Linked DNA regions of Rattus norvegicus. The protein of the gene in region 1 purifies or fractionates together with the protein of each later gene. This does not show direct contact. Links are inferred from orthologs where the notes say so. Each region holds a gene or a part of one and is shown on either strand. Other genes may lie near its edges.

What was found.
Region 2: the proteins of Ubr2 (region 1) and Ube2b purify together in Homo sapiens (affinity purification with western blotting; 3 studies listed by BioGRID, with this or other methods). This does not show direct contact. The link is inferred for Rattus norvegicus from reciprocal best matches to the Homo sapiens genes UBR2 and UBE2B.

Annotation. Positions count from the first base shown.
Region 1 is NC_086027.1:21,478,644-21,482,916, reverse strand, and holds the start of Ubr2 (E3 ubiquitin-protein ligase UBR2), read right to left. Parts: upstream 2,801-4,273; 5' UTR 2,499-2,800; coding exon 2,421-2,498; intron 1-2,420. UniProt on the Homo sapiens protein: E3 ubiquitin-protein ligase which is a component of the N-end rule pathway.
Region 2 is NC_086028.1:36,761,144-36,765,291, forward strand, and holds the start of Ube2b (ubiquitin-conjugating enzyme E2 B), read right to left. Parts: upstream 2,801-4,148; 5' UTR 2,725-2,800; coding exon of another isoform or gene 2,700-2,724; coding exon 2,656-2,699; exon of another isoform or gene 472-2,655; coding exon 391-471; exon of another isoform or gene 1-390. UniProt on the Homo sapiens protein: E2 ubiquitin-conjugating enzyme that accepts ubiquitin from the ubiquitin-activating enzyme E1 and transfers it to a E3 ubiquitin-protein ligase. In vitro catalyzes 'Lys-11'-, as well as 'Lys-48'- and 'Lys-63'-linked polyubiquitination.

The sequences.
Region 1 (4,273 bases):
TAGCCTGGGACACACAGAAAGCCAAATGACACAAAAGGCATCGCTACTTACTAAGTCAAAATGGAATTACTTGGTCTTAGAAAATTATCTATTTTCTAAATTGGTCTAAATTCTGCAATAAATACGTTTTCTACAACATCTTTTCTAAAATTTACTTTTTGAAAATAAGATTTTTTTTTTTTTTAAAATAGCCCTGGCTGGCCTGGAACTCCACGTAGAACAGGCTAGCCTCAAACTGACATGCGCCTACCTCTACCTGAGCAGCAATGGAATTAAAAGTATGAACCACCACACCTGACTAAAATTTTCAGTTGTGGTCAAGGGTCAGGCTGGGGCCTAAGCGGAAAGAACAATGTTAAGAGTTTGGCATCCTTGGGGTTGGGGATTTAGCTCAGCGGTAGAGCGCTTGCCTAAGAAGCGCAAGGCCCTGGGTTCGATCCCCAGCTCCGAAAAAAAAAAAAAAAAAAAAAAAAAAAAAAAAAAAAAAGAACCAAAGAGTTTGGCATCCTGACTAAATGCACCCAGTAGACTCCTCCAGACATAACAGCATCGATCCTAGTGTGCACCTGCCCTATTTGAAGGCCTTCAGACTACATCTCCTCAAGTTTAATTTCATAAATCTATATAGAACAGCGCTTAAAAGTAAAGAGAGCTCAGATGGTGATCTCCTCAAACTCAGAGTCAGCACAAGTTAACGGAAGTTCTGCTTGGGCCTGGAGAGACCACTCTCAAAGCAGCATCCATGCTAGCGTCTGTCACTGCAGTTCCAGGGGACCTGGAATATGTACATACCCCGACACAGACATACACAAATACACATAATTATAAATTAAAAAAAATAAATAAAGGTTTTGTTGCATTTCCCTTATTTTCCCCCATTCCATATGCTTGAAATTTTCAGCGAGCTGGGAGTAACAGCCTCCGGCGCTGGGCTTCCTCAGGATCAAACCGAAGATACCTCACCACTGTCAGAATGGGGGTAACACAGCTGCTGTCACCATCAGCAACTGATGCAACAAGCTAAGGGGTCAGGAGGAAAACAAAATCCCCCTGCCTCCGACACGAGCAGATTTGACAGTTAGAATAAGATAGCAAGTCACTTAGTCTTATTTTCCTGTTTTCTTATAACAGGGCTTTTTTTTATCTCTTCCAGATGTCTTTCATAAGTCAAAGGCAGATGGGGGGTAAAATCCTTCTGAGTACAGGAAAACAGACTGCACGCCTACCTTACTTAGCCTTACCAAAAAAATTTCAAAACTTAAATTCATCAGGCAACAATGTATTTTTTTAAAAAAATTACCCCCACACCCCTCCCCTTCACTTCCACCTACACTTATCTAAGTCTCATCAGCTCACTCCAAAGATTCGTCACCAGCTGCACATCCCAACTTACTGACCCTAACATCCCGTGTGACGATGTGTTGAACAGTCACCCATTTCCTGGGAGCTTTTTCAGCTGGAGGCCTCTGAGTCTAGGCTCCAATTGTCTGAGCTATTTCCAGTCGCTGTGGACAATCCGTTCTGATAGGTGTCCCCTGCCCTCACTGGCAAAAGACTGACACTGAGTTTGTTGAAGTTGTTGTCTTCGTAACTTTGCTACTTGTATCAGCGCTGTTCATAATACATTTTAAGTCCTTTCTATGTTCTGAAGGGCTTAGGTTGAGGGCCTAAGGGCTCCTGATAGGCTGGGATCAACGCTATCATCCCTAATGAGTTTGCATCTGTTATCCAAAGCTGCTTTCTCAAAGTTATATAATGTTTGTTCTTCGTCCAACTTTTCCCAACTCCTAGAAAAATTGGGTAGTTTAAAAAAAAAAAAATCTCCCACCCTCCATGTCGAGACACCACTAGTACACACAGGCAACCAACGTTGCCATCTAACGAGATAAACAAGTGCAAAACAACTTTTTTAAAAAAAGCACGGAGGGAGGAATGTCGGACTGTGCTGTTTGCAGCCTGGGTACCCTCCAACCCCCTTCCCCAGCAGTCCCAGCAACAAAGTTGGAGCTGGGTGAGGGTAGAAAGCTTCGGCGCGGACACTGCTCCGCTTATCCCAAGAAAAGGAATCAGAAGATAAGTAGGGCGCTTATACCACAACGTTAGGAAGAGGCTTGCTTCCTCCCATCTTCCAGCAGCTAGCATATAGGGCAAAGGCCCAAGTGTTGTCGACTTAATGGAGGGTGAAAGGTAATTAGGGATAATGAAAGCACTGTAGTAGAGTCGCCGGGTATAAGGAGGATCTGAGTACCGAAGGCGCAGAGCAGGCTCGATGGCCTCCTGGGTCCTTTCCCCACAGGACATGGCCAGCGCGGCTGTTACCCGAAGTCAGTGGCGGGCTCCCGGATTTCCAGGACTCTGTTCCTCCCCTGGGGCGCGGCCTGCGAGGGCCGGACGTACTCCTCCCGGGCTCCCGCACTCACCCCTGCGATCTCCTCGGCAGAACATTCCAGCAAACTGCGGTCGATGGCCTGCACCTCGGGCTCCATCTCCGACGCCATCTTCTCACCTCCTCCTCTCCCCGGGTGCTCTCGCCGCTGTCGCCTCTTCCCGGGCCTCAGCTTCGCCTCTGCTCCCGCAGCCGCGACGGTCACCCCTGTCCCGGGGCCGTCAGTCCCGGGCCGTCCCGGCGGCCGCGAGCCGAGCTGCGCAAGGAGCAAAGCGGGACGCGAACCTGCAGCGGGGACGGCAGCCGCTTGCGCGCGCGCCCGGGCTCGGCGCCCAGAAGTCAAGTCGCCTCCTCGCCCGTGACCCGGGGAAGGACACCGAGAACCCTAGGCCTGGCACTCCGGATGGCCACTACCGCGTTCAACGCCAAGAGAGGGGCAAAAACACCCAAGCGGGAGAGCAGAGCATTCTGGGAACTGTAGTCGTCCCCTGCGCGGCCAGGGAGAGAAGCGAAGCCTCTATTAAGGAGCGGCGCACGAGTATCATGGGAGTTGTAGTCCATCCCCCTGGCGGAAGCCTGGAAAAAGACAATTTAGAATCCGTGAGGTGGGCTCGACCACGGAAGAGCGAAATAACGTTTGAGCTCTCGTTTTAGTCTCTTAGTCCCATTTATTCTTGTCATTTTTTGATCTCCCCAGCACCAAGAACAAACGTTCCAGGCGCGATATCCACTCAGCTGTCTGTCAAAAGTCTGGTATCTCAATTGTCAAAAGAATGAATGAATCGCGCGTTCTATTCCGGAGGTTCTAATGCCTTGTCATCCTGGCACTAGTCACCGAGGTGTATTTAGTACCGAGATTTTGAAAGGTTTTAAGGCACATTTGCAAGAAATTTAGTTTATGACCATTTGACTGATATATATATTTTCTTTTTTAAGTCTTGCTGCAACAGAAAAGGAGTCTAACAAGTCAACTTAAAGATCGACTCTCAGAGTAAAACAACCCTGAAAGCGCGCGCTTACTTCCGCGTCCTGCCTGCCTGCGTCCTGCGGCTGCGCGGAGGGAGAGCCCGGGCGAGAGCTGCGACTGCCATTGTTTTTGCCGTTTCTCAAAAGGTCAAGGAAAAAAATTTTTTAGGGTTCAATGGCAGGCCACAAAGCAGCAGCAGAAATACTGGATATTTCAGCTGCGTTGCTTTAAAACTAGACTGACAGAAGCAGATCTAAAAGTAGATCGATCGGAGGTTTACATATACTGACTGTAATTTGTGACATGCATTTAAATACCTTTTAAATTGTCTTCGTGGAGAAGTTTAGGCTCTCACAGATGACCAGACAAACCCTAGTTGCCCTGTAGGAAGAGGCTGATATTTTGTACTGGTGTTGTTAGGGTGAGATCTTGGAGCCAGCAGCTCTAACAAGCTAGGCTCAAGCATGTATCCTCGATATGGCAATTAAAAAGATACGCAATAACGAAGAGGTAGAGAAAGGAGGCTTATTCGATGTAGCCACATCGGGAAGAGGGACAAAAAGGTCCAATGACCCCCTGCCCACTCCCGAGTTCACCACCTTCAGAGTCCTGACATGAAGTGTTGCCTGTGCCCTGGACAGCTCTCTGCCTGACCCTACCTGCCCGTGGGGCTTGGCAGTGAGTTGGCAAAGAGTCAACAACACAGACTCCAGGAGCAGGTGAGAAATGCAGCAAGCTCATCAGAGCACCGCTACAAGCTCCTTTAATATCCTCCACCCACGCCTCCATTGGTCCCAAGAAAGCATCTCTTCTAAGCAGCAGTTCCTGATTGGCTGGCATTGTTCGCACCAGCAATACTTGCTCCTCAGGCAGTCCTCAATTAGGTCTTCTTGCAGGAGATGCCTTTGCAGCGGCACAGC
Region 2 (4,148 bases), on another chromosome or scaffold:
ACCTGGAGTGACCGTAAAACCATACCATAGCTAGGTACAGTATCAAACTCCCACAATCCCAGCTACTCCTGAGGGCCTAAAGCAAGAGGATCACTGCAGCCCAGTTCAAAATCACCCCGATCAACACTGTAACACCTTGTCTCAAGGGAAAGAAACCAAATTAAACTTAACAGCAAGGAGCAGACCAATTTTATATAAATGTCCCAGACTCAATAAAATGTTTCAGGAGCTGGGTATACAGCTTAGTGATAGGAGCACAATAAGCACAGGAGGCCTATGGTTCTCAAAAAAGTGCCCCCTACCCCAACAAGTGAGCTTCGGATCCACCTCAGCCTCTTTCCTTGGTGCTTATATACTTACTTTTCCTAAGCAGTCGCTATTTCAACTCACCCAAATATAACTGCGTTCCACTGCATGATGTTGTTTTCAGATGGTGCACCACTGACCCCCACAGGTGGGTCCTCTTGCAATCTAGAAATCCAGAGTAGTCATTTTCAGAGTTGAACATAAAGGTCAGTGAGGTCAAATTCTACTGAACCTATTCTGAGAGACTGACTAGACTGACTTATTGTTGGAGCTGAAATGAGCTATGACTTAAAAGAATCAACCAGGTTAATATACTTACTAATACTACCAGTGATCTCTAAGCCCAAAGGACTAGGTGGTCATCCTTCTTCACACAGCAAGATTTAAGATATGATCTCTTGAAGAACTCTTGTTTCCAGACTGCCCTCTTGACCCATTACAAGTTTACAATTTTAGCAATGAAAAATATTTTAGAGAATCTGCAACTACCAGGTGGTAGTGGTGTGCATGCCTTTAGACCCAGCACTTTGGAGGCAGCCTGGTCTACAGAATGAATTCCAAAACAGTCAGGGCTACACAGAAAAACCCTGTCTCAAAAAACCAAAACCAAACACCAAAAACCAAAACCAAACCACACAAAAGCCTACAGTTTTTCTACCTTCATCATGCAAGGATCTCCAGTCCTAACACAAAATCGTAGGAAATCTCCATACACTAAATAACTGAAAAGCATATTCAGTTTAACTAGAAAGCGAACCACACTTTATGGTCTGTGCTTCAGACAGTGGCTTTCTCAAGTAGCCAGAAGCTCCAGCTAGCTTTCCAGCAGTCTCTCTTTTAAAGACACTGCTCTCAGGCCAACTCTACCTTAGGCCTTCATACAAAGTTTCATACAGCACTTTCAACAGACGTCATCATCAATTTCATGTAACCTCAAGATCCTTGGAAAACCACCAAAGGCACCTTGTACTCAATCGGGTACAGAAATTGCAAAAATGAACAAGAGATAATAATGGATGATGTATTAGCCATAATGGCAAGGTTTATTTGCATGCTACAGAGCCAATCAAATATAGTGACTTCAAGCCTTTTGCACCAACAAGGGCATCTCATCTGTCAGATCATAAAAAAAAAAAAAAAAAAGCCTTCCACCATACAAAGTATGTCATGATTTTTAAGTGGACACTTAGCGATCAGTCCACATTAAAAAACAAACAAACAAACAAACAAACAAAAAACCTCAAGCAGATTATGCCACTAACAGGGCTGAGAGGAACGAACTTACTGCCTGATTCCTCAATTTTAAGTGGCTAAAATCAGCAACGAATTAAATGAAGCTGTCCAAGGCCCAAGACCTCCAAATGCCCCAGACAGGGCTTTATAAAGGCAAAGTCGAGCAGTTGCTTCCTGAGAGGCAAATCTAAGTTTTTATAGTACAGATCTGTCTCAATCACAGCGGGTCTGCCCAGAAAGAAAACTTAGAGGAGTATCTTGTCGCTGGATTTCAAGTTACGGTTGCTGCACTTGTACGTTTCCAAGGAGAGGTAAACAACTGGAAGAGGAAGGAGAGGTCATTTTCTTCCTTCAAGCCCCTTATTTCCTATAAACTCCTATTTTCCAAAAGGAGGCCCAGGTGGAGTATCAGATTAGCTCCAGTGTGACGGAAGGCATTTCCCAGGCCGGGGAGGCTATAGATAGGCCTTTATTCGGCAGCCAGATCTTAGTTCCAGAAGGCACTGGCAGCGGAGTGGCTAGCTCCAGGTCCAGGTTTCCCGAGCCAGTTCTCAAGGTCCTTCCAGGTGGGCGGGGGCAGATCGGGTTTCGGGGGATGGGCTAACCACCTCCGGACCTCGCGCAGCAGACCCCACCCTCACCACTGCAGAAAGGGAAAGAGATTTGGGACAGTATTCACCCCAACCCCGCTACAAATAGGAGACCACGGGGCCCTGTAACAAAGCTGGACTGGTCCTCCAGGCGAGGCCAGAACCTCAGGAAAAGCTCCCTAGCACCACCTGCGGAGGGGACACCGCAGGGTGCAGAGGCGGGAGGTGAAGCGTCTGCATTTGGCCTAGGTGGGCCTCTGGGACACCTAGGCCCAGCGATGGCTACCTTCCTACTTTTGGGGGGGGGGGGAGGGCAGGTGGCTATAATACCGAACATCTTTACTCAAACAGAGGGAGGTATGAAGCGAGGGAGTAAGAGTCGCCGGTGAGCCGGGGCTGCCGTGGGTCCCGCAGGCCCACTGCCCCCCTCCTCAGGGTCACCGGGGGAGGATATCCCGGATCCCCGCCCTACAGTCCATAGCTTCGGGAAGAGGCCGTCATATTGGGCTAAGACGAGGGCCCTTACCGCTTGAAATCCCGCATGAGCCTCCTACGGGCCGGGGTCGACATGCTCCGCAGCTGCCCCGCGGTCAGTCTGAAAGAAAAGAGTCCCGTTCGGCCCCCCCACCCCCCGGCGCAGCGGCCGAATCACTGTGGGTCGCCGCCGCCACCGAGACTGCACAAACAACCCTGCAATGACGTCTCCCTCCGCCGCCTCCAGATCCCTCCGCCCTCCGCCAGTACCACCGCTGGGAGGAGGGGAGAGGGGGCGGGGCGAGCGGGCGCGCGCGCGACCCTGGAGGCGCAGGAGGCCGTCTTCGGGGCTTCTTGGCTGTGAGGAACTATGGAAGGTCCTCTCCGTGCCCAGGCTGGACACGGGCCGGCCCGACCGCGCCGGAGCCCACACGCTACCTTGCCTCGCTCCCCCCGTCGCTAGTTTCAAGTTCGGCCGGACGGGGAGAGAGGTGCATCCGGAGCCTGAGATTTCGGGGAGAGGAGGTGGGATGACGTCAGGTCACGTGACCGCTAGCGGCGTTGTCAACAATCCACCCCTGAGGGGGAGGGAGCGAAGTATCTAGAACCACGTGTGCCTGTGACGCCATCAGAACAAGTCACGTGACGGCCTAGCCTGGCTCTTGGTTTCAGGTCTCACAAAGCAGGTCCTTGAGTTTAAGGAGTTGACACCTCTAGTCATACATTATTCTTTTGGTCCCAAGTACTGGGACTTTGCATAAGGAGACATTGTGGAAGAAGCCACTTGGCGTTCTGAGTCTTTAAAACGGAACAAAAAAATCTGGACTTAATTCTGTTTCAAGTGGCTTAGCAACTCTGGCACGTGGGACAGGTACTGAAAGTGTGGCAAAGCCTTGTAATGAACAGCTTTGAATACTATGGTCCGTGCAAATCAGATGGGATTAAGGGCATTTGGATCAATTATAGCCTGTATGGGATTTCCATACTTAAAGTCTATACAGAAATGAGAGTGGAATAGATTGTCCAAGCCTTAAAGACTCCATCTATGGAGTCTTAGAATTGGAATCTGTGATTTTGCCTGCGGTGGGGAACAATTGTATTTCTCAAGAAACGAGTGGGTGTGATTTTTAGGGCATATCAATGGGCTGCTGGTTGTCAAAGAAACCTACCAAAATGATTCAGATCGGGGGAGAGATCATGCAGACATGGGTGGGAGTTATATCTCGAGTCTGAGGTAACTTAGTACAAGCTTTGTACAATAGCAAAGAGGGGCCAAACGGACCGGAAGTGCTCTGTGTGTGTGTGTGTGTGGGGTGATTCTCAGCAGGTTCAGTAGCCTTCACACACACACACACACACACACACACACACACACACACACACCGCCCCGCAAGCTCCTGGAATTCCCAATCTCAGCTTCTAGCACTGATGTTAGTTCTAGGGACCCGAACGGTGGAGTAGATGCGGAATTCTTTAGCTCTAGAAGGGAAAAGAGCATGAGAATCTACTGCTCCACTCCTTCCTATATACATAGTTCCTTGAAAC